Linked DNA regions of Notamacropus eugenii. The protein of the gene in region 3 interacts with the protein of the main gene of each other region in a pairwise test. Links are inferred from orthologs where the notes say so. Each region holds a gene or a part of one and is shown on either strand. Other genes may lie near its edges.

What was found.
Region 1: the proteins of TSR2 (region 3) and RPS26 interact in binary tests that used the Homo sapiens proteins (3 or more experiments, as listed by UniProt). The two-hybrid records come from large-scale screens. The link is inferred for Notamacropus eugenii from reciprocal best matches to the Homo sapiens genes TSR2 and RPS26.
Region 2: the proteins of TSR2 (region 3) and PIAS2 interact in binary tests that used the Homo sapiens proteins (3 or more experiments, as listed by UniProt). The two-hybrid records come from large-scale screens. The link is inferred for Notamacropus eugenii from reciprocal best matches to the Homo sapiens genes TSR2 and PIAS2.

Annotation. Positions count from the first base shown.
Region 1 is NC_092874.1:231,230,885-231,238,350, forward strand, and holds RPS26 (small ribosomal subunit protein eS26), read left to right. Parts: upstream 1-4,899; 5' UTR 4,900-5,199; coding exon 5,200-5,202; intron 5,203-5,517; coding exon 5,518-5,695; intron 5,696-6,214; coding exon 6,215-6,345; intron 6,346-6,859; coding exon 6,860-6,895; 3' UTR 6,896-6,960; downstream 6,961-7,466. Other genes in the region: IKZF4 (zinc finger protein Eos), read left to right, coding at 23-783.
Region 2 is NC_092875.1:326,636,537-326,643,410, forward strand, and holds the start of PIAS2 (E3 SUMO-protein ligase PIAS2), read left to right. Parts: upstream 1-3,868; 5' UTR 3,869-4,007; exon of another isoform or gene 4,008-4,224; 5' UTR 4,225-4,291; coding exon 4,292-4,372; intron 4,373-6,874. UniProt on the Homo sapiens protein: Functions as an E3-type small ubiquitin-like modifier (SUMO) ligase, stabilizing the interaction between UBE2I and the substrate, and as a SUMO-tethering factor.
Region 3 is NC_092879.1:102,611,614-102,618,905, forward strand, and holds the start of TSR2 (pre-rRNA-processing protein TSR2 homolog), read left to right. Parts: upstream 1-4,274; 5' UTR 4,275-4,386; coding exon 4,387-4,467; intron 4,468-4,683; coding exon 4,684-4,774; intron 4,775-4,879; coding exon 4,880-4,971; intron 4,972-5,395; coding exon 5,396-5,584; intron 5,585-7,292. UniProt on the Homo sapiens protein: May be involved in 20S pre-rRNA processing.

The DNA of each region.
Region 1 (7,466 bases), on a different chromosome or scaffold from region 3:
AGTGTTTTCTCCTTCCCTGCAGGTGAGAAGCAGATGCGCTTTAGCCTCTCCGATCTCCCCTTTGACATGAATTCAGGTGGTTATGAGAAGGATGTGGAGCTGGTTGCACACCACGGTTTGGAGCCTGGATTTGGCTCACTAGCCTTTGTGGGCGCAGAGCATCTGCGGCCACTTCGCCTTCCACCTGCCAATTGCATCTCAGAGCTCACACCTGTCATAAGTTCCGTCTACACCCAGATGCAGCCACTCCCGGGCCGACTGGAGCTATCTGGAACTCGGGAAGCCAGCGAGGGGCATGAGGACCTGGCTGATGGGGGTCCTCTCCTCTATCGGGCTCGGGGTCCCCTGGCTGACCCTGGGGTCTCCCCCAGCAATGGCTGCCAGGACTCCACAGACACAGAGAGCAATCATGAGGAGCGGGGTGGGGGGGTTGTAACCACCCCTCAGTGTTCCTCAAATCAGTCAGCCCCTGCTCTGGTTGTGGGGAGCCGGCCCAGCCCTGCCTACGCCAAAGAGGACCCCAAGATGCAGGAAGGGCTTCCCCGGAGTGCTCCTGGCCCTGCCAAGGAAGTGCTGCGGGTGGTAGGTGAGGACGGAGAGCCAGTGAAGGCCTTCAAATGTGAGCACTGCCGCATCCTTTTCCTGGACCACGTCATGTTCACCATCCACATGGGCTGCCACGGCTTCAGGGACCCTTTCGAGTGCAACATTTGTGGCTACCACAGCCAGGACCGGTACGAGTTCTCCTCCCACATTGTCCGAGGGGAACACAAAGTAGGCTAGTGATCTCTGGCCTCCCCTCCAACCCAGCCCTTCCGAGGTGTCCAGCCCTCCCAGCTCACCCCTGCCTCCCACTGTCCACTTTTCTACCTGACTAAGTTTTGCTTTTGTAGCCTGTCACACAGACATAATCCCTGGCTGCCTGATTTCACACTTGCCTCCTCGCCATTTCTGCCCTCTCCTTTCTGCAAGTTGCCAAGCTGATTTATTTAAGCGTTGTGATGAAACAGGTCTTTTGTTTTGATTCTTCCTTTTTTTTCAACCCCTATGCCTCCCCAAATGCACACTAAGTTATTTAGTAAGATTATTAGATGGAGGGTTTTTGCTCTCTAAGGAAAAGTCTGTCAGATAGCTGCCATTCTGCACTCCCATTCTCTTCTCTTGTCCAAACCTAATTTCCTGCTTCCTCCACATCCCTAGGACAGTGGGGTAGAAAGCTCTCTAGAGTTTGGAGGGGCATTGGCCTACTGCTGTCCCTGATCCTCACCCCTCACTTACACTGCCAGACTCCTCAGTTCCGGTGCCGGTGCCTCCTGGCCCCACCATTGCTCTGTGGCATTATATCTCCTCTCTGGGACACCCCTCCCCTGGCACTCCATACCTCTCTGCCCTCTCACCTTGGGCAGCTTGCACTGTTCTTGAATGAATGAATGAATGAAGGATATCCCCCATTTAGGGGGAGGAGAGGGTTGAAAAAGTTCACTCCAGGGCACTGTGAGGCTCAGAATCCTCTCACTCGTTCCCCTAATAATATGAATACTCTGAAGCCTGCATTTGCACTCTGGGTCTCCCACTAGGATGTGATATCCTCTCCCTTCAACCTCACAGGGGCTGTTCTGGTCCTCCAACCAGTCTGTGTGCTCAGTGGTGACTTCCCTCCACTTGGGGCACCCCAATTTGATATCCTCAGGGGTGAAAGCTGGGTCTGCACCTTTTTCTGTCTCTGAAGCATTGGGAGTAAAAGATCCTCACCAAATTGGAAATAGAGGACAGGGAGAAGACAAGATTCTTCTCTTCTCAATGCTTCTTCAATTGACTCCCTCACCCCAGAAACCTCTCTAGGCACTCAGGGGCTTTCCCACCTTACGAAAAACCAATTAAGTCTATTGCTGCCTGAAGACAAGGAGGAGACCCAGCCCTTCAGTCTTACTGCCTTCACCCTCCCCAGCAGGGATTACCATCCCATTCTTGAGCTCTGAGGCTCCATCCTCAGGGTCAGTGGTCATAAGAAAGGGATGTTTCTTTCCTCCTTTTAATTATTTCAATATAACCAAAAATGATTGCAGGGTGGGCATGTTCCCTTGCCCCTACCCTACCCCTGCCCGAGGGAGAATGGGTCCAGCACATCTGGACTGAGGGCGTCCTTCACTGCCCCCTTCATGCCTGGTGCCAAGGAAGCAGGGAAGGAGGAATTCATTTCCCTCCTGGTTCCTGAAGCATGCTTGGCTGTTCTTGTTGGTCTGGGAGGGAGGCAGAGGCCCCTGGGAAGGGGAAGCATCTCTATACACATGGAGTCCCAGCCCAGGGCCACAGCCACCTGGCTCTCTTGCTTCCTTGAGGTTCAAACCAAAGGCTGTTTTTTTTTCTACGTTAAAAACAAAAAAAAAACAAAAAAACAAAAACACAACCACCTCACAAGTTGCAACACTTGGTCCTTCTCTCTTTCCTCTCACTTTTCTCCTCCAATTCCTACCCTCCTTTTCTTCCTACGACTCCTTTCCTCATTGCCTCTTCTGCCTCTTCTCCCTTTTCTCCCTCCTCAGGGATCTCTTAGGGGTCCCCAGGGAAGGACGCTGCAGGGTTGACTGGGGGACAGAACCCAGGATTGTGGTACTTGGGCCTCTGAGAGGAGTCTCTCTCACCCCCTTGTGGGGAGGACATCCTAAAACAGTTTTCTCCTCTTCCTCCACTACCCTGAGGTTTCCTTGATGAGACCCAGATAGGTGTAGAGTGGAGCATCATTGTGATGAACCCGTCTGTTCCTCCTGGACAATGTAGCAATAAACAGATGCTGCCAGGGTCAGGGAGGTGAGGGGTAGGGGAACAAAGACAGAAGTAGAGGGGAAGGATAGAAGGGTCTCTAAAGGAAGGTTCTTTCCAGCAAGATGCTGTTCTCCTACCTCCCTACTCCACTTTTGCAGAGTAGATCTGGACATTGAGCCCCTTCCTACTCCGTCCCTTTCTCAGCTGGGAACTACTACAGTATTCTGTTTGTGATTGTGACTCCCCATAGGGACTATTCCCTCCAGGGAGATCAGAGCCTTAGGGTCCTACCCACATTCTTTCCCCATTCTACTTTGGCAAACCTGTGATAACCCTCACCCCCGAAAATTCAAAACAAAACAAAATCATGTTCTGAGGCTATTGCTATGCCCAGGAGAGCAAAGACTTGGGGGCTGGGAGCAAGATAAGACTCTAGATAGGGGAAGAAGGGGACACCATCACTTTCCAGATCATCACTGCACTTTAACCAGGGTCTTAAGTACAAAGCCCTACTTCCCCAGAGCCCCTTTGGCTCTGGGACCTCAAATGTGCTCACCCCTCCTCCCAGCTCCTTTTGTTAAAAAAAAGAAAAAAAGAAAAAAAAGAAAAGAAGGAGAAAAAAGAAAAAAAAATAAACCCTGAAACCTATGTGGAGGAAAGAGGTGTTTTCCTTTTCTAACAAAATTCAAAAACAACAACAAAACCCTTTCTAAGCAGATACTTTTCCAAACCTTTGGGTTTTTTTTCCATGTCTGTCTCCAGGCTGCGGAGGGATTTTTGTAACACTCCTAGCAGCTTCTTTCCTTGTGTACATATTATATATATATATTTTTAATCAGACATTATGATGAACAAAAAAAAAAGAAAAAAGAAAAAAAGAAAAAAGTGCAATACCACCTCTGTCCTCTTTCTCTTTCCCAGGGTTTTCATTTGTATCCTAGACTTGGTGTCTTTCTTGATCCCTGTCCTCTCTCCTCTTCTGGGTGCCCCCTCTTTTTTTGAGAGTTCTTTCCCTTCTTAAGGGGAGTCAAACTTGCTTTTGAGACTTAACTGCGAAGCGTTTTGTATCTGTAATATATTGTAAGTAAATATTTGTGTAACGAAGAATATACTACTGTAAGTTTTGTACTGTACTGGCTGAAGGTCTGTTATAAATAAACATGAGTAATTTAACACCTCCTGTCTTTGCAAACTTCCCCTACTTTGCTGTTCTGTTGGAAGGACTGAAAACACTTTATCACTATGTTTTTATTCTGATTCACTTTGTCCTTAGTAGTTTGGGCCACGTAAAATTAAGAGTTTCGAGAGAGATTAAGCAAGAAATCCCCAAATGAAACTATTAAAGCAAGAGAGGTTGACTTGAAATATCAGGATGGGCTCTAGGGCACAATCAAGAGTTTGTAAATCCTGGGATAGGAGTTGGAGAGACTCTTCATCCTAGGGCTGCTATCCGAACAGACTTCCAGGCCTTTTTGGCCCCGACTCCTCGAGGGCAGTTACCTCTGGAGGGCATGGGACTTCATTAAACATGTTTACTGAATGCCTACTGAGCACCCAGTAGTATGCCAGCTGCCATCGATCATCACCAGAACCCACAGCCTGAAAGCTGACACTTTGTACAGAACCGAGGGCCCAAAGGAGATGTGAACGGAGGTATCTGGGAGAAAGAGAGGCAGGGGAGAGAGAGGAGGACGAAGGAGAAAACTCGAAAGGGAGAAAAAGGCAGGCTGTGAATGCCTCCCTGGTGGGGAGAGGCGAGGGGGAGCCCCTGAAGTTAATATGGAGTAGGGCAGTCTTTCTTCCCGTGGTGGGAGTGGGATGTGCCAAGAGCTGTTTCGTCTCCTGCCTTTCTGTCCCCATTCTTAAAAGAAAAGGAATCTCGGACCAAGAGGAAGGATTGAGGGACCAAACGCGCGCGACGTGGAACATAAGCTTCCTCTGGGAGTCGGGCCCCGGCTTTGGGTCCCGAGGGCCGCCTCTGAACTACATCCCCATCGCGCACGTAGGCTTATAGGCGCATTCAAACTACAACTCCCAAAAGGCACTCCTTCATGTTGACTTCTACCCGGCGGACTTCAACTCCCGGCGTTCCTTGAGACACTACAGCTAACTGGCTACAACTCCCAGCAATGGCTTCTGGGAAATCGGAGGCTCGCGGGGTATAGTTTGTGAAATTAGTTTTACATGTATTCTTCCACGCCTAAATAAAATAGTCCATAAGGGGCTCTTTCTCCGAGGCCAAAACAACTCCAGAAACCTCTTTTCACGGAGGAAACGGGCTTTTTAAGGAGTAAAGCCTTTTGTTAAGTGAATCCTGGGATTGGTTAGTCTCGGAGGAGAAACTTTGTTTACGCGCATGTGTTGGCGCAAGGATATACAGATATATAAGGCGGACGGCGGAACCACCGGATCCTTTTCCGGTTCTTGGCTTCCAAGATGGTGAGGGAGCGGCGTGCGGTGCGGGGGTCCCTGGCGTTTGGGGAGGCCGGTTCCGAGACCGTTGGAGGCGGGCTGGGGAGATGGGGAGGGCCGCAGGCCCATAAAGAAGGACAGTGGAGACTCGGGTTCAGGCCGGCCACAGGGCAAGCGGGCCAGAGAGAGAGGATGGGGAGGCCGGACACGGGTGGGCCCGGAGCGCGGAGAGACGCTGGGCGCCGGTACTGGAGCGGGGTCGGGTGGTCGGGAGGGGGAGAGGCTGAAGGCCCGGGGAGAGCCCCTGGCGGGCCCGCCTGACTCTGGCCCCCATCGCCTCAGACCAAGAAGAGAAGGAACAACGGACGCGCCAAGAAGGGCCGCGGCCACGTGCAGCCCATCCGCTGCACCAACTGCGCCCGCTGCGTGCCCAAGGACAAGGCCATCAAGAAGTTCGTTATCCGCAACATCGTGGAAGCCGCGGCCGTCAGGGACATCTCCGAGGCCAGCGTCTTCGACTGTAAGTCCTGGCCGGCGAGGCGCCGTTTGGGGGATTAAGCCCCCGACCCTCAGCATCCCAGCGTCCTTAGGGCACGAGCCCCGACCTGGAGAAGGGTCATGCCTAGTCGAGTAACGTGCTTTTGGTTTCCTTAACTGAAAAACAAAGTTTGGGTGTGGGTGGCATCTGTTCTATTCTAAATCTTGTTAGAATCTAATAAGTCTAATCTTATTAAGGGTTCAGACTTTTATTTTCCTTAAGTAAGGTCCATTTTTGTGACATACATTACAGAAGGGTAATCTAAGGAAACGGAGGTAATGATGGAAATGGAGTTTGAGGCTAGAATCCCAAAGGGGGTTCTGTGGGCGTTTTGGAGGGATGGGGAATGACCAGATCTGCTTGATAGCGCCAATTTCTACTTTAAGTCATTTTACAAAATGCAAAAGCTCCCTAAAAACTTGGCGTTCTAAATACGTTTGGTGTATACTTTGGGGTAGGCATGACACCTCAGGGCAGTGCTAATGCTTTTTCCTTCACCAGCCTATGTGTTGCCCAAGCTGTATGTGAAGCTACATTACTGTGTGAGCTGCGCGATCCACAGCAAGGTAGTGAGGAATCGCTCTCGGGAGGCACGAAAGGATCGGACACCCCCACCCCGATTCAGACCCGCGGTAAGTCTCTTAACAGGAGTGAGTACAAAAAGAAGGAAGGGGAGAGGTATTAGAGGCTGCTGGGATTGCTTGGGATTGATGAAAAGTTAATAAGAAAAGGTCCCTGCTCCAGGAGAGATTATTCTAAATAGGGAAATGAAAAAATGAAAATAAACTTTGAGGGATCTTTAAAGATAAAGCGGGTATGGTTGGAACTAGACTGTGTCTCCAGAAAATACTGTAAGTAGTTGGAAAAGAGGCTGGATACTGTTTATTAATTCCAAAGGCGTCCAATATTGTTGGATTTGTAATTCTAATTATAGACATCTCTTCAAAATTTGCTATTTCCTTATATTTTGATAATTATACAAGCAGTACATACCCTAAGTAAATTTTTTTCCTTGTTGATATTTGTGAAAGGATTCTAGATTAAGAAAGAGGTTTGAACTATTTCTGCTTTCCATAGTGGGGAAATGCTTGGAATGATAATGGTCCCATGTTGCTGACAAACTATCTCATTCTTTTACTTTTGCAGGGTGCCGCCCCCAGACCCCCTCCAAAGCCCATGTAAAGAACTATCTGCCCATCAACATTCCTGAACCAGTCAGAGGAAAATAAAATGGTTGGTCTATCTTACATCGTGCCTGGTGTATCTGTGGGTTAGGGGAACTTAAGCCTACCTTTTGACTTTAAAAAGAAACTGGGTTATAAAAATCTGTGTCCTTGGCATAGCCTGCCAATTTTCTAAGAACAGATAATTTTCTAAAGAATGTAGGTAGACACAATAACAGGTGAATGCCAAACTTGAAGAAAAGTTTATGTTGAAAGGCTGGGTTAAGGTTTGTGCTTGTGTCACTAGGGGGATTTAACACTTGTTAAGTACTGACTCTATTTAACCCTGAAGTAATATCTTCACTTGTCTTTCAAACTGAGCTCATTCTTAGTTTTTTTACACGTATCAAATAATAATGATGGTTTTAGTGCTTGAGTTATCTTGGGCTTGTGATTGACCAGAAGCCCTTAGGTGAGCAATTTGACAGTTGGTGAGGAGGTGCTGGAAGGTGGGGTAGGGCTGGTGATTGTGAAGCCAATGATATTGGACACCTTTGAAAATTGATTCCTGGAGGGTCCGGGTAGATTAG
Region 2 (6,874 bases), on a different chromosome or scaffold from region 3:
GCTGTATGTGACCTCTTTATTCCACTGCTCCTAGATAATCCAGTGATGTGTTGTAGTGTCCTCTTTAGTGGTGACTCCATCTTCCTGAGACCTGGGTGGTTGTAATGACTGAAGACACTTTTCACAGATGAGAGTGGGCAATAGCTGTCACCTTCTGCCTCTTTAAATAGCTTTTATGTATCAGGATAATGGCGTTTCTGTAAGTGTTACACTCTTCAGAATGCTAGTATGTCATGCGCTTCTTTGCACTATGGTCCTTAACGTGGGCCTTTGTTGTGGTGGAGCACTGAAGTTACTGCAGTGTACTCTTGGCCCCCCACCTTCCTAAATTCTCCTTTACTTTCTATAATTCCCCTCCCCCCCACCCCTACCTCCCCGTGCTCCCCATCCCAAAATCTGGCTTCTACACTTCTGTTCCTTGGATACTGAGCATTAATGGACAAAAGTCAAATTGAGCTGAATTCACCTACTAGAAATTTAGTTTGTACAAACTAAATCACTACCTGTGATTTACAGACAGCTGGATGTTTGACAGTCTATATCACCATACTTAGATAGTACCTGTTCCTAACTCCATCTTTCTTTTCTTCTCCCCTTCTCCTTCATACCTCAGTGCCACATGGCTTAGCCTCTTACTTCATTAAAACTGAAAGGCATAATGTTTGTTCTTCACTTCTTTTCCATGCCTCAAGAATTTTTAGCATCATTATCCATCCTTCTGTCCTTTCCTCTGGTAACAGAAGGGTCCTACTTAAAACTCCTCCCTCTCACTGTGCCCTTAATCCTGTTCATGCTTCCTTCTTTCACCATCAATCAACTGTTAGATTCAGGACAGGAAAGTACCCTGGCTGAAGCAGCAAGTCACCCAGAGGAGGACATGAGAGGCAGCATGTGGCAAGCAGATCAACAACCCCACCCCCCCAACTTCGTCCACTACTACCCCCCCAGCGTAACCACCATCTCCTCTTAGAGACAGTTGAGGACTCAGAACTCCAGATGGGAGAAATAGTGCTTCCTGCCTAGAACCTTCAGCCATCACCTTAGGAACTCACCTCTGGAGATATGGCCTAGCAACTTCTTCTGCAGCCATAGTAAAGAAGACTGGAAGGGAAAGTTTTTGCCACCAGAGTCCTTGGCTTTTTCAAATAGTTCCAAATCAGAAATTGATACAGTTTTATCAGTGGAATGATTCTGAAGAAGAGATAATTGCCATCTGCTTTGCTACTGCACCCCAAGGACCCTGTTGGTGTTCCATCTCATTTGCTGCAGAAACTTTGTGTATTGTCTCCTTTACAATGTGAGTTCAATCTACGTGAGTTTGCTTTTTTGTTTTTTATTTTAAATTTATTTATTTAACTTTTAACATTCATTTTCACAAAATTGTGGGTTCCAAATTTTCTCCCCATTTGTCCCCTCCCCCACCCCAAAACACTGAGCATTCTAATTGCCCCATCACCAATCTGCCCTCTCTTCTATCATCCCTCCCTTCCCTTGTCCCCATCTTCTCTTTTGTCCTGTAGGGCCAGATAACTTTCTATACCCCATTACCTGTATTTCTTATTTCCTAGTAGCAAGAACAGTACTCAACAGTTGTTCCTAAAACTTTGAGTTCCAACTTCTCTTCATCCCTCCCTCCCCACCCATTCCCTTTGGAAGGCAGGCAATTTGATATAGGCCGTATCTGTGTAGTTTTGCAAATGACTTCCATAATAGTCATGTTGTGTAAGACTATATTTCCCTCCATCCTATCCTGCCCCCCTTTGCTTCTGTTCTTTCTTTTGATCCTGTCCCTCCCCAAGAGTGTTGACCTCAAATTTCTCCCTCCTCCCCATGCTCTCCCTTCCATCATCCCCCCTACCCTGCTTATCCCCTTCTCCCTCACTTTCCTGTATTGTAAGATAGGTTTTCATACCAAAATGAGTGTGCATTTTATGCCTTCCTTTAGTGGAATGTGATGAGAGTAAACTTCATGTTTTTCTTTCACCTCCCCTCTTTTTCCCTCCACTAAAAAGTCTTTTGCTTGCCTCTTTTATGAGAGATAATTTGCCCCATTCCATTTCTCCCTTTGTCCTCCCAATACATTTCTCTCTCACTGCTTAATTTCATTTTTTTAAGATATAATCCCATCCTATTCCATTCACTCTGTGCTCTCTGTCTCTGTGTGTATGTATGTGTATGTAATCCCAGCAACTACCCAGATACTGAAAAGTTTCAAGAGTTACAAATATTGTCTTTCCATGTAGGAGTGTAAACAGTTCAACTTCAGTAAAGTCCCTTATGACTTCTCTTTGCTGTTCACCTTTTCATGCTTCTCTTCATTCTTGTGTTTGAAAGTCAAATTTTCTTTTCAGCTCTGGTCTTTTCATCAAGAATGCTTGAAAGTCTCCAATTTCATTGAAAGACCATTTTTTCCCCTGAAGTATTATACTCACTTTTTCTGGGTAGGTGATTCTTGGTTTTGATCCTAGTTCCTTTGACTTCTGGAATATCCTATTCCATGCCCTTCAATTTCTTCATGTAGAAGCTGCTAGGTCTCGTGTTATCCTGATTGTATTTCCACAATACTTGAATTATTTCTTTCTAGCTGCTTGCAATATTTTCTCCTTGACCAGGGAACTCTGGAATTTGGCCACAATGTTCCTAGGAGTTTCTCTTTTTGGATCTCTTTCAGGAGGTGATTTGGTGGATTCTTTCAATATTTATTTTGCCCCCTGGTTCTAGAATCTCAGGGCAGTTTTCCTTGATAATCTCGTAAAAGATGATGTCTAGGCTCTTTTTTTGATCAAGGCTTTCAAGTAGTCCCATAATTTTTAAATTGTCTCTCCTGGATCTATTTTCCAGGTCAATTGTTTTTCCAATGAGATATTTCACATTATCTTCCATTTTTTCATTCTTTTGGTTTTGTTTTGTGATTTCTTGGTTTCTCATAAAGTCATTAGCCTCCATCTGTTCCATTCTAATTTGGAAAGAACTATTTTCTTCAGTGAGCTTTTGAATCTCCTTTTCCATTTGGCTAATTCTGCTTTTGAAAGCATTCTTCTCCTCATTGGCTTTTTGAACCTCTTTTGCCAATTGAGTCGGCCTATTTTTCAAGGTGTTATTTTCTTCAGCATTTTTTTGGGTCTCCTTTAGCAAGGTGTTGACCTGCTTTTCATACTTTTCTTTCATCTCTCTCATTTCTCTTCCCAGTTTTTCCTCCACCTCTCTAACTTAATTTTCAAAATCCTTTTTGAGCTCTTCCATGGCCTGAGCCCACTGAATATTTATTTTGGATGTTTGGGACACAGAAGCCTTGATTTCTATGTCTTTCCCTGATGGTAAGCATTGTTCTTCCTCATCAGAAGGGAAGGGAGGAAATATCTGTTCACCAAGAAAGTAACCTTCTATAGTCTTATTTTTTTTCCCTTTTCTGGGCATTTTCCCAGCCAGCGACTTGACTTCTGAGTGACCTCTCCACACACACCTTGCCTCATGATCCGCCCAGCCAGTCCTTAGGGGCTGAGATTCAAATGCTGCCTTCCAGCCCCAAGTGTTTTGGCGGAGGCGGGGCTGCTATTCTGTGTGACATTAAGTTCAGGTGCTCTGGTGGGGGCAGGGCTGCCACACGGGGCTCAGTTCCCTCAGGGGGTTTACGGGGAGACCTTCCACAATGGATCCAAGCTCCTGCCTGCTTTGGAAGCCCTGGTCTGCTGCCACCTCTGCTGCTGCCTCCTGAGGGGGCCTGAGTTATGGGGACACCCCACTCCCTATGGGGACCCTCTCACTGACCTTTGGCACCTGTGGGTGGAGGGACCTTCGAGGCTGCTGGAGATTCCGTCCCTGAAGCGTGCTTGGGTCTGCTCTCCTGGTGCTGTGCAGCCAAGGCAGGGCTGGGCTCTGCTCCGGGTCCGGTGTGCGACAGACCTTTGGCGTCAGTTTTTCAGGTCTCTCTGGAACAGAAATCTCCTCCACTCCGTTGTTCTGTGGCTTCTGCTGCTCTCGAATTTGTTGAGAGTTCTTCTTTACAGGTATTTTATGGGCTGTGGGTTCGGAGCTAGCATATGTGTATCTTTCTACTCCACCATCTTGGCTCCTCCCCTTGAGTTTGCTTTTTTGAAAAGTATATCATAGATTCAATATATTTTGAAACTGTCTTGATTATTTGTGTTTCTTGAAGTTCCTTGTGTTTTTTGTACTGTGAAAAAATATTTTAGTGACCCTCTTTTCTTTCTTTTCTATGTGTAGTGTTGCTATAGTTTTTTTCCCCTTTAAGAAGAACAACACAAAATTCTTGAAATAGAAAAGCCTAGCAATGCAAAATAAATCTACAAATTTACCTATGTATGAAAATGTCTCATTCTGCACTAAAAACTCATCATCTCTCCCTCAGAAGGTGAGTAGAGTGTTCATTAATCTGGAAGAGTTGTGGTTGTCCACTGCATTAATAATGATAGCTAATATTTTCTTACTGCTTACTATGTTGCAGACCCTGTGCTAACACACTTTACAATTATTATCTCATTTAATCCTCACTACTACCTTGGGAAATAGTGCTGTTATAATTCTTATTTTCTGGAAGAGAAAACCGAGACAAACAGAAGTTGAGTGACTTGCCCAGGGTCATGCTACTAGAAAATTTGAGGACAGGTTTGAACTTCTGATTCTAGGCCTTGTGCTCTATCCACTGTGCCATCTCGCTGCCTAGGTGACCACCAAGGGATGTAAACTTTCAGTCCTCTGATCCCATACAATAGTTCTTAAGTCTTTTAAAGTTTTTCTTTATTCCTCTGTATCTTTTTTTTTTTTTTATTAATTTTTTTATTTTTTTAATGTTTAACAATCACTGCCATACAATTGCGATTTTATCCCTCCCCACCCACCCCCCACTACCTCCCTCCCTCCCCACGACTGCATACAATTCTGTATAGATTCTACATATACTTTCCTATTGTATTCCTCTGTATCTTATCATTTAGTTTTACATTGTTTTGTATTGGTCCTCCCATTTTTTTTCTGATTCCATGTCTTTTGTTATTGTTTTACATCACAGTAATATTACATTACATTCATATACCACATTTATTCAGCCATTTCTCAATTTATGGACATTCTCTTAGATTAACACATGCTTTTCACTCATTCATTCTGTATTTTGATTGGATCCGTCTACTTCACTTTGCATCATTTACAGTAAATCTTCCCATGCTTCTGTGTATTCTTTATGCTAATTGTTTTCTATAGCTGAGTAATATTTCATTACATTAATCTACCAAAATTTGTATAGCCATTTACCAGTCAATAGGCATATACTTCTTTCCAGTTCTTCGCTTCTACCAAAAGTGCTACTCTAAGTATTTTGGTGCATTTGGAGCCTTTTGGTGGTGTTGATGGTGGGGGGGTTGGAAGAGGATCATTGACCTTTTTGGATTGTATGTGTGGGAGTGGTACTCTATTATGAGCATTTTAGTTACTTAGCATAATTTCAAATTACTTTCTAGAATGGTTAAGTCACTTCATTGCTCTACCAGACATTGAGAAGTATTTGAATAATACGCTATTCAGATCTAGTCAGGTTAACAGTAGTACACAGAATCACGGGTTGAAATAGTCAAGTTAAGGATTTATTTTCTTTCCAACAATCACAATTTCAATTGATTTTTCTTGAGATTTGGAAAAATATATAAATTATCTGCGAAGTACTGAGAGGAAATTTCTCCATGGAAATACTAATTGAAATTACCAGAGATCTCAGGAAGAAGAAAATTCAGTAAAAATCTTGAACATAAGCAGAAAACCTAGGAGGGAAGACATGAACAGAGATGAATATGGTCCTCAGATCAGGTAAAAGAGTTCAGATAACTGTAAATAATATTGTAAGAGGAAAATGAATCACTTCCTAAGGAGGCAGAGGACTATGTGAATTCCTAAGAGAGAATGAAACTGCAGTAGAATGTTCCTGAACAATTTAAAAGAGAAAAAAGAAATGTAAAAGCAGAATTTGGCATATAACGCAGAAGTATTTGGTAGAGTAGAAAATCTCGAGCCCAGGATGGGAAACCTAACCAAAGAAAGGAGAGAGAACAACTGATTGGAAATGCAAATGCACAGAAGAAAGGACACTCTAGAAGAAAAGTAAAAAACAACAACCCATGATCTCCAAAGAAGCAAACAATGCTTTCAAAGATAAAATGCCTGTACTTTTTAAAGATTATGGGTCTCCCAGAAGAATGACAAGTAGAAAAATCTGAACACTGGTAGTAAGAAATACTACCAAAAAACTACCCAGAAAGACAAATGTTAATGGAAAGAATCCTCCTCCCTTCATCCACACATCACCTCCAGGGAAAAAAAATTGTAAATTAAGACACATAATGGATAAATTTTAACAATTCCAGTGATAAGAAATGCTACATGGTTCCAGGAGAAAGACTTACAATATAAAGGAAAGGAAATTCAAATAGCATTCTACTATTCTTTATCTAATAGTGATTTTTTTCCTTTGATTTTTTCTTTAAGCTCTGGATTTTGGGTATAATGCTCCTGGGATTTATTATTTTGTTCTTTCAGTAGGATGGATGGATTTTTTTTTCCATTTTTACTTTGTCAGTGAGATGTGGGTAGTTTTCTTAAAATTTGATATCTAAACTTTTCTTAGAGCTAATTACATAGTCCAGTGGTTCTTAAGTTTTTTTCTCAATTTGTTTTCTAGTTTAATTGGTTTTGACAGTTCCATGCTTTAAATTTTTTCTACATTTTCAATTTTTGACATCGTTTTAATGTTTCTTGTTTCATGAAGTCATTATCTTCTGTTTGATTCATTCTGCTTTTCAGGATTTTGTGGCTTAGGCAAGTTTTTTGTACATCTTGTGCAAAGCTGTTAATTCTCTTTCCAGGA
Region 3 (7,292 bases):
AAGAGGGTCCTTGGACAGTCCTGGGAGGCTCACACTTTTTCTAGAGCTTCTCTGGAACCCTGAAGGGGGGGAGGGCACCATAGGAGAGTAGAGTGATTTAATAGCAGTGTTGAGAACATACTTCTATTTCTAAACATCTGTTAGATGTTTAGATGTTCTAAACATCTATTTCTAAACATCTGGCCCATTGCTGGCCATGATCTTCCCTCACTCGATCCCCATTACCTATTGGATATTTCAGACTGGATGTCCCAGGGACATCTCTAATTCAACATGTCTAAAACTGAACTGGTCTTTCCTCAGAAACTTTTATCTCTACCCAATTTCCCAGTTTCTGTGGAAGGTACCTTCTTCTAGTCCCCGGGGCATGCATCATCCTTGACTCCTCATTCAGTTCACATATTCAATCATTTCTAGCCTATGGCATGTCTCCCATCCAAACCCTTCTCTCTACTTATACCCCCACCCTGGTTCTCTCCTTCCTCACCTCACTAGTCTCTCTGCCTCCAGTCATCCTCCAAGCTGCAGCTAGAGTAACTGCCCTTAGATCTGACCCTATGACACTCCAGATGATGGGATGCCTTTACCTTTCCTGGAACAAAGCAAATTCACCAGGCTTTCAAGTTAGAAGGCATCTTGAAGATCATGAAATTGACCCTGCATTTGACAGAAAGAAGGAAAACTAAGGCCCAGATGGGTAGAGAATAGCTCAGGGCCACATTCCAGAGGAAAATAAAGAGTGGGGAAAGTTCCAGAGCTGAAAGTGACTGCAGCCCCCTAGTCAGACCCCCTCATTTTCCAGGGGAAGCTGCTTAGGATTGCAGAAAGTCAAAAGGGGCTACTTCCAAAGAAGAAACTGAGGCTTGAAGTGGAGCAATGCCAATGGGGCCCAGGGACTTTGTGTGGATGTATTTCTATGCCCAGTACACATTTCTGTGAAAGGAGGTCCTATTTGTACAAAGCACTGAGCAGTGCTTCAGCCATAGTAGGCCTATACAAACACTTTTTCCACTTCCCTTCTCCTGATATATAGTGTGTGTGTGTGGGGGATGTTGATTAAATGACATTGGAGAGAGAGGAGACCAAAAAAAGGAAAGAGAGGAGTAGAGAGACCCATACCCAGCCACCTACAGGAACACAGAGACATACACATAAAATAGACCCAGGCTTGGGGGGGAGAGGGAGAAGGAAAGAGTATCAGAGGCAGACACAAAAATGGACAGAAAGGTACACTGAGGTGAACAGAGGGAAGGAGGGACAGATTAGGATACACACAGGCCAGAGACAAGAGAGAGAGAGACAAACAGGTTGAGACAGACAGACATGGAGTGTGAGAGGGAAAAAAAACTGAGAGACAGACAAATTCCCAGATAGGGTTGGACCAGGACTGCTGCACGATACAAGAGAGAGTCTCTCAGTGAGGCCAAATAAATAGAAGAATCCATCAAGGTCTCCTGTCCATTTTGGATGCAAACAATTCTCCACATGAGTGATTTGAGAGTAAATCTGTGGTCATCTCAGAGAGACAAAAAGATCAGGAGCCCAGAAACAATACATGTTATTCAAATGAGATAATAAATCTTGGGGAATTCTTTGAGGGCATCTAAAACCACCTGAGATTTGAGCAATGCCTAAATCTATTTCTAGTGGGAGAGTGGTGTGCTCCCTACATGGTCCCTCATTGTGCCCACCCTCTCTGCCAGGTGGGACTGGTCAGTTTTGGCTCACATCTCAGGGGTAGGGACTCCAAGGCAGGGATTAGTAGCCAAGGTAGGCATTACCATTGTCTCCCCGCCTGAGCTTTGGGATTTGACATCCTTGTTTTGGAGATGGGGGTGGGCTTGTCAGCTAGCTGTGGAATGTAAGATCAAACAATTCCCAGGAAGCCATTACACCTGACTACGATGTAGACTCAGTTTGGTGTGGGTGCAGGTGTCCAAGGGGTGCTCTCATCTCAAGACAGCTCGACCATCAGTTCATTTGAGCCAGGCCTCATGGCAAAACAAAGGCCAAAAGTGCCAGACTTAGTTGTTGTTGTGCCTAAATTGCCAAGTTAGCTGTTTGAATTTCCCGGAGTCAGTCTCTAGACTGTAAAGCATGGAGAAGATGCAATGGTCAGGTTGACCTTCCGGGCTTTCTGTTAAGTACTTTTTATTGGGGGGAGTCTGCCATCGAGATAGGCCAGAAAGCAATTACTGGGGTGGGGTGGGGTGGTGGTGGTTAGAACAGGTCCTAATTTAAAAGAACAGACAGAAACACAACTTGAGGGAATGATGGAAAGGGACAAATACAAAGACCATGCTAGGGATGGAAAGAGAAATGAGCTGGGGACGGTGGCACAGAAAGACAAAATCAGTCCGTTGGTCAGTGAATATTTATGAAGCACCTACTATTGGCCAGGCACTGTGCTAGCACTGGGGATACCCAAAGAGGCAAAACCTGGACTCTGGGGGAGACCACAAGCAAACAAACACACACAAACAAGCTGCACGATGAATTGAAAATGATTGAGACAGACAAGACCCTCGAATTTGAAGGGGGTAGGAGAGGCTTCCAGAAGAAAATGAGATTTAGCTGGGATTCCAGGAGACCAGGGAAGACAGACAAGGAGCAAGAGTATTTGAGGCATGGGGACAACTAGAGAAACTGTCCAGAGCTGAAAGATGGAAGGTGGACTTTGAGGAACAGTCAGGCCAATAACACTGAATGGAAGACAGTCTGTCAGGGAGCTGAGTGAAAAAAGGGGAGGAGGGGGCAGGGCATGAAAGGCTGGAAAACCAAACAGAGCATTTTGTATTTGATCCCAGAGGCTCTAGGGAGTCACTGAAGTTTACTATGTGGGGAAAGGGGACCTTACTTTAGGAAAGACCTGAGGCAGGCAGACTCTATCAGCTATTACAATAGTTCAAGGTGTGAGGTGATGCTGGGCAAGACCAACGTGGGGGCAGGGTCAGACTGAGAAGGGGGGCAGATATCAGACATCAAAGGTAAAACTGACAGGCCTTGGTAACAGCTTGGATAGGTGAGGGAGAATGGAGTTCAGGATGAGACCTGGGTTGTCAGCCCAGAAGACTGAGGGGATGGCATTACCCTCCACAGTAATAAAGAAGGTGGGATGGGCAGATTAGGGAAAAGAAAAAGAGTTCCATTTTGCATGTGTTCAAGGTGCCCACTGGACATCCAGTTCAAGATGTCTGAAAGGCAGCTGGAGATAGGAGTTTGGAGGTCAGCAGAGAGGGTGGGGCAGAATTGACCATCAGCATAGAGATGTAGGATGGAAGGGGAAGTGAAGGGGGCCCAGGACAGAGCCTGTGGTTAGAGGGTGTGATCTAGAGGAGGAGGAGGAGGATCCAGCAAAGGAGACAGAGAAGGGGCGGTCAGAGAGGGAGGAGGAGAATGGAGACAGAGAGGGGAGTTCCATAAACCTAGAAAGGATCAAGGAGGAGAGTGCCCAATAACAGTGGCCAGGGCTGCTGAGAATTGAGAAAATGCCACTGGACTTGGCAACTGAGAGATCCCTCCTAACTCTGGAGAGAATGATAAGGTTGGAAGCCAGATGGTAAGGAGTAAATTAGAGATAACACAGAGCCATCTATTGTAGGCGGCCATAAAGGGCAGAAGGACAATCGTTAGACCGGGAAAAGAAGAGACGGCCATAGAGATTCAAGAGCCGGAAAATGAAAAGCAGAGACGCATGGGGACAGAGAGACAAAGAAAGAGAGAGAGATCCACAGAGAAAGGGCCCCGGAGGGAAAAAGGCAGATGAAGGGGCAGGTGGGGGATGAGCCGCCGCCAGGAAAGCCCGAAGCAGAGCAACCAGAGCAGCTTCACACTCTTTGGCCTGTTCCCAGAACGCTTTGCGGGGAGCCCTTCCTGACTCCTCACCCCTGCTCATTTGCTCCCCTTTCTCCCACCTAGAGATTCTCGGGCCGACACTCTAGGACCGTTCTCCCTCGTTAGACTGGGAACTCCTTGAGGGCAGGGGCTAGCTTTGGCCCCCTCCTTCTATCCCCAGAGTTTACCCCGGCACGCAGTAGGCGCTTAATCAATGCTTTTACTGACTCACTGACCGCATGCAAGCGAGAGAACGCGAGAAAGACGCTCAGAAAAATGGACTGGGAGGCTGGGACCGGGCCTCATCAGTTCGGCCCAGCTCCGCCCGGCTCAGCTCGGCTCAGCGCAGGTGGAGTGGGGGCGGAGCCGCAGCCCTAAATCTCAGAGAAGACTGGCGGCGAAGGACCCATTCCGCATGCGCACGCAGGCGCAGGAGGGCGGAGGATACGCCGGGGCGCGAAGGCGGGACGGGATTGGCCGTCCGCCATCGACCCGCCCTGCGTGCTGTGCCGAGCGGCCAATCTCTTGGGACTGGCGGCGGTGGGGTCGGACATGGCGGCGTCTGCGGACCAGGCGTGGGCCTTGTTTGGCGCCGGTGTTCAGGCAGTGCTGGAGGCCTGGCCGGCGCTGCAGGTAAGGGTGCCGGACAGGGGAGGGAGCTTCGAGCATGCTCCTTCCCCGTACCAAGAAACTGAGGCGGCTCCGAGGCGGGAGGAAGGAGGGAGCGAGCGGACCCCGGAAGTGAGGGGAGGGGAGGAAGGGAGCGCCTGGAGGAAGGGGGAAGAGAGGCCCCCCCCCCCCCCCCGCGTCGTTCCCCGCAGGGCGCTGCCAGTATGTCTCCTGTCCCAGATCGCCGTGGAAAACAGCTTCGGGGGAGCCCACAGCCGTGAGAAGGCCCTGTGGCTCGGGGGAGCCGTCCGGGACTATTTCTTCCAGAACGGTGAGTGGAGTACCGGGAGGGGGGACCAGCGGGACAAGGACGGGATCCCAGAGCGTCTGGGCAGGCTCTAATTAGTGCTCTTGGCTGGGATCGCTCCCTTCCCAGCTGATTTAGAGCGGGATGAGGTGGAGGACTTCCTGGCTGACATCATGAGCACCGAATTTGATACTCTGGTAGAAGATGGAAGCCTGCCCCAGGTCAGCCCCCCGTGCCCCAAGGCACCAGATTCTAGATCTGCCCTCCCCAGCCCTCGCCTCTCCATTCCCAAGGCCCCACTCTAGACCCTCATCCAGTTCTGTTGGAACAGCATCCTACCTCCAGGGTGTCCCCATGTTTCCATCCTTAACAAGGCTTCCCAAGTAAAATTCTCTCCCTTCAACCTTTGAGGCTTCTCTGCCTTCAAGCTGAGACCACCCCTTCCAGCATATCCCCCCTCCCCCCCATTTGGAACTAACAGGATTTGGAGCTGGAGTTCAAAGCCAGCTACCCTCCTGTTGGCCAGCCTCCTTGTTACTTTGCAGGCTGATTAGGAGTGTCATATTTTCTTCCTTTCATCTCTCCCCTGGCCCATGACCATAAATTCAAACTCATAAGTATACCTGTGGTGGGGGTGTCTACCAGGTAAGCCAGCAGCTCCAGACAATGTTCAGATACTGCCAGAGTGGTGAAGAACCCTTGCTGAGAGAGTTCATCACTCAGATGAGCCAGAAGCAGAAGGATGTCAAAGCTGTGGAGGCCCAGACAGTCAACCAGACCAATGATGACTCAGACCAGGAGGAAGAAATAGATGGGGGAGATGAGGAAATGGAGGTGAGGAAGAGGGGACTGCCTAGGCCAGAAGCAGGAGGAGACCTCTCCTCAACCTGATCATAAAATTCATAATATTTCTTACTGACTTGGGCCGATCATTCTAGTCTAACCCTAACCCTAAATCTTTTTGATCCTGACTCCCTCCCAAACTGGTCATTTGCAGTTTGGGTAAGTATACATTTCTGTGGTTTTCTTTTCTGTAAAATAAATGATTAGACTAGATGACTTCTAAAGTTCATTCCAGTTCATAGACCAGTTCAAGGTTTCCCTGCCACAAGTTGAGGAAACTACAAATTAACATTAGCAGTGTTGCATTGTGTTTTTTACTTGTTAAACGTTTTCTTAATCACTTTTTAATCTGTTTCTGGGTGAGCCGGATGCCTCTGATGTAGACAAATTGTGGAGAAACACATTAAGCCACCATCAGGGCAAGGGCAAATTCCCAGAATATCCTTAAGAATCTCCTCCCACCAAATTGACTGCAACTAACAACAGCCTCCATTTATATAATGGTTTAACTTGTGCCATGCAACCAAACAGTGAGGCAGGTGCTATTACTGTCCCAGTTTTACATGTAAGGAAACTGAGGTGGAGAGGCTGTGACTTGCCCAGGGTCGCTCACATAGGTGGCAATTTCTAAATTCACCTAGCTGTTCTTTTATCCAGTGAGCATTTCTCCATCTCTTCTGCAAGAATAGTACTTGGTCAAATGCCTTCAGAAAATCTCAGGAAACTCAATCTGCAGGATTCCTGCGATCTACCAATTTCACAATTTTGGCACAAAAGCAGTAAGGGTAGCTAGTCATAACTTGTTCTTTATGTTAAGGTAGGACTCTGCAAACATCTGGAGGAAACCCTGAACTGATCTTAGTGTGCTCTAAGTTCCCACTACTGTTTTCTTGACATACTGAACATCCTGCTATTCCAGGCCCTCAGCGTCTACAGACATTCTGTGTCCATAAGCCGATCTGGACTGGAAAAATGACTTGCTGAGATTTGGCTTTTTTGTTGGTTTGCCCACTCTAGACTCATTGGGGCATTTTCTAGATCTTTGAAGAAGCATTGGAGGGGTAGAGCTCTGCCACTGAGGCTCCACCTCCATAACTTGTCCCTTTCTGATCAGCACTTCCTGCTCTAGATTGTCAGTAATCCTAATAAGCCTTTGAAGACATTCTACAATTTTGCCAGGAGTTCAGCTCAAACTTGTTGATTTGTTTTTTAGCCTCTTTTGAAAGGTGGGCCTTTCAGTGGTCTCCTGGTGCTTCAGCCATTGCTCCGGATCTGCTTGCAGGCACCAGTTCATGGCCCTTCTTCATGGCTCAGCTATGTAGAGAAGCCCAGTTAGCATGAGCTCTGTTTGTCTTGGGTGCCCACTCCCTGGTAGCCATTTTAGTTTCTGGCCCAAATGGCATTTTACTTAGCTAAAGACACCAACCAAATCTAAGTTGGGTTAAGTCCTGCCTTGTTGCCATCATTTGTTATTAGACAGCTCTGATCAGAGAGAGCCAATCCGGCCTTAGACGCCAGCTGGCCAAGTCACTGTTAGCCGCTGAATGCACTTGGCTCCCGAGTCCTCAGATGTAAAAAAGAGCAGCTACCTCACTGGGTTGTTGTGAGAATCAAACAAGGTGTTTGTAAACATTGCTTAGCACAGCGCTCCAAGCACAATGGGCCTTTCATAAAGGCTTCTTTCCTTATGGTGGAATTT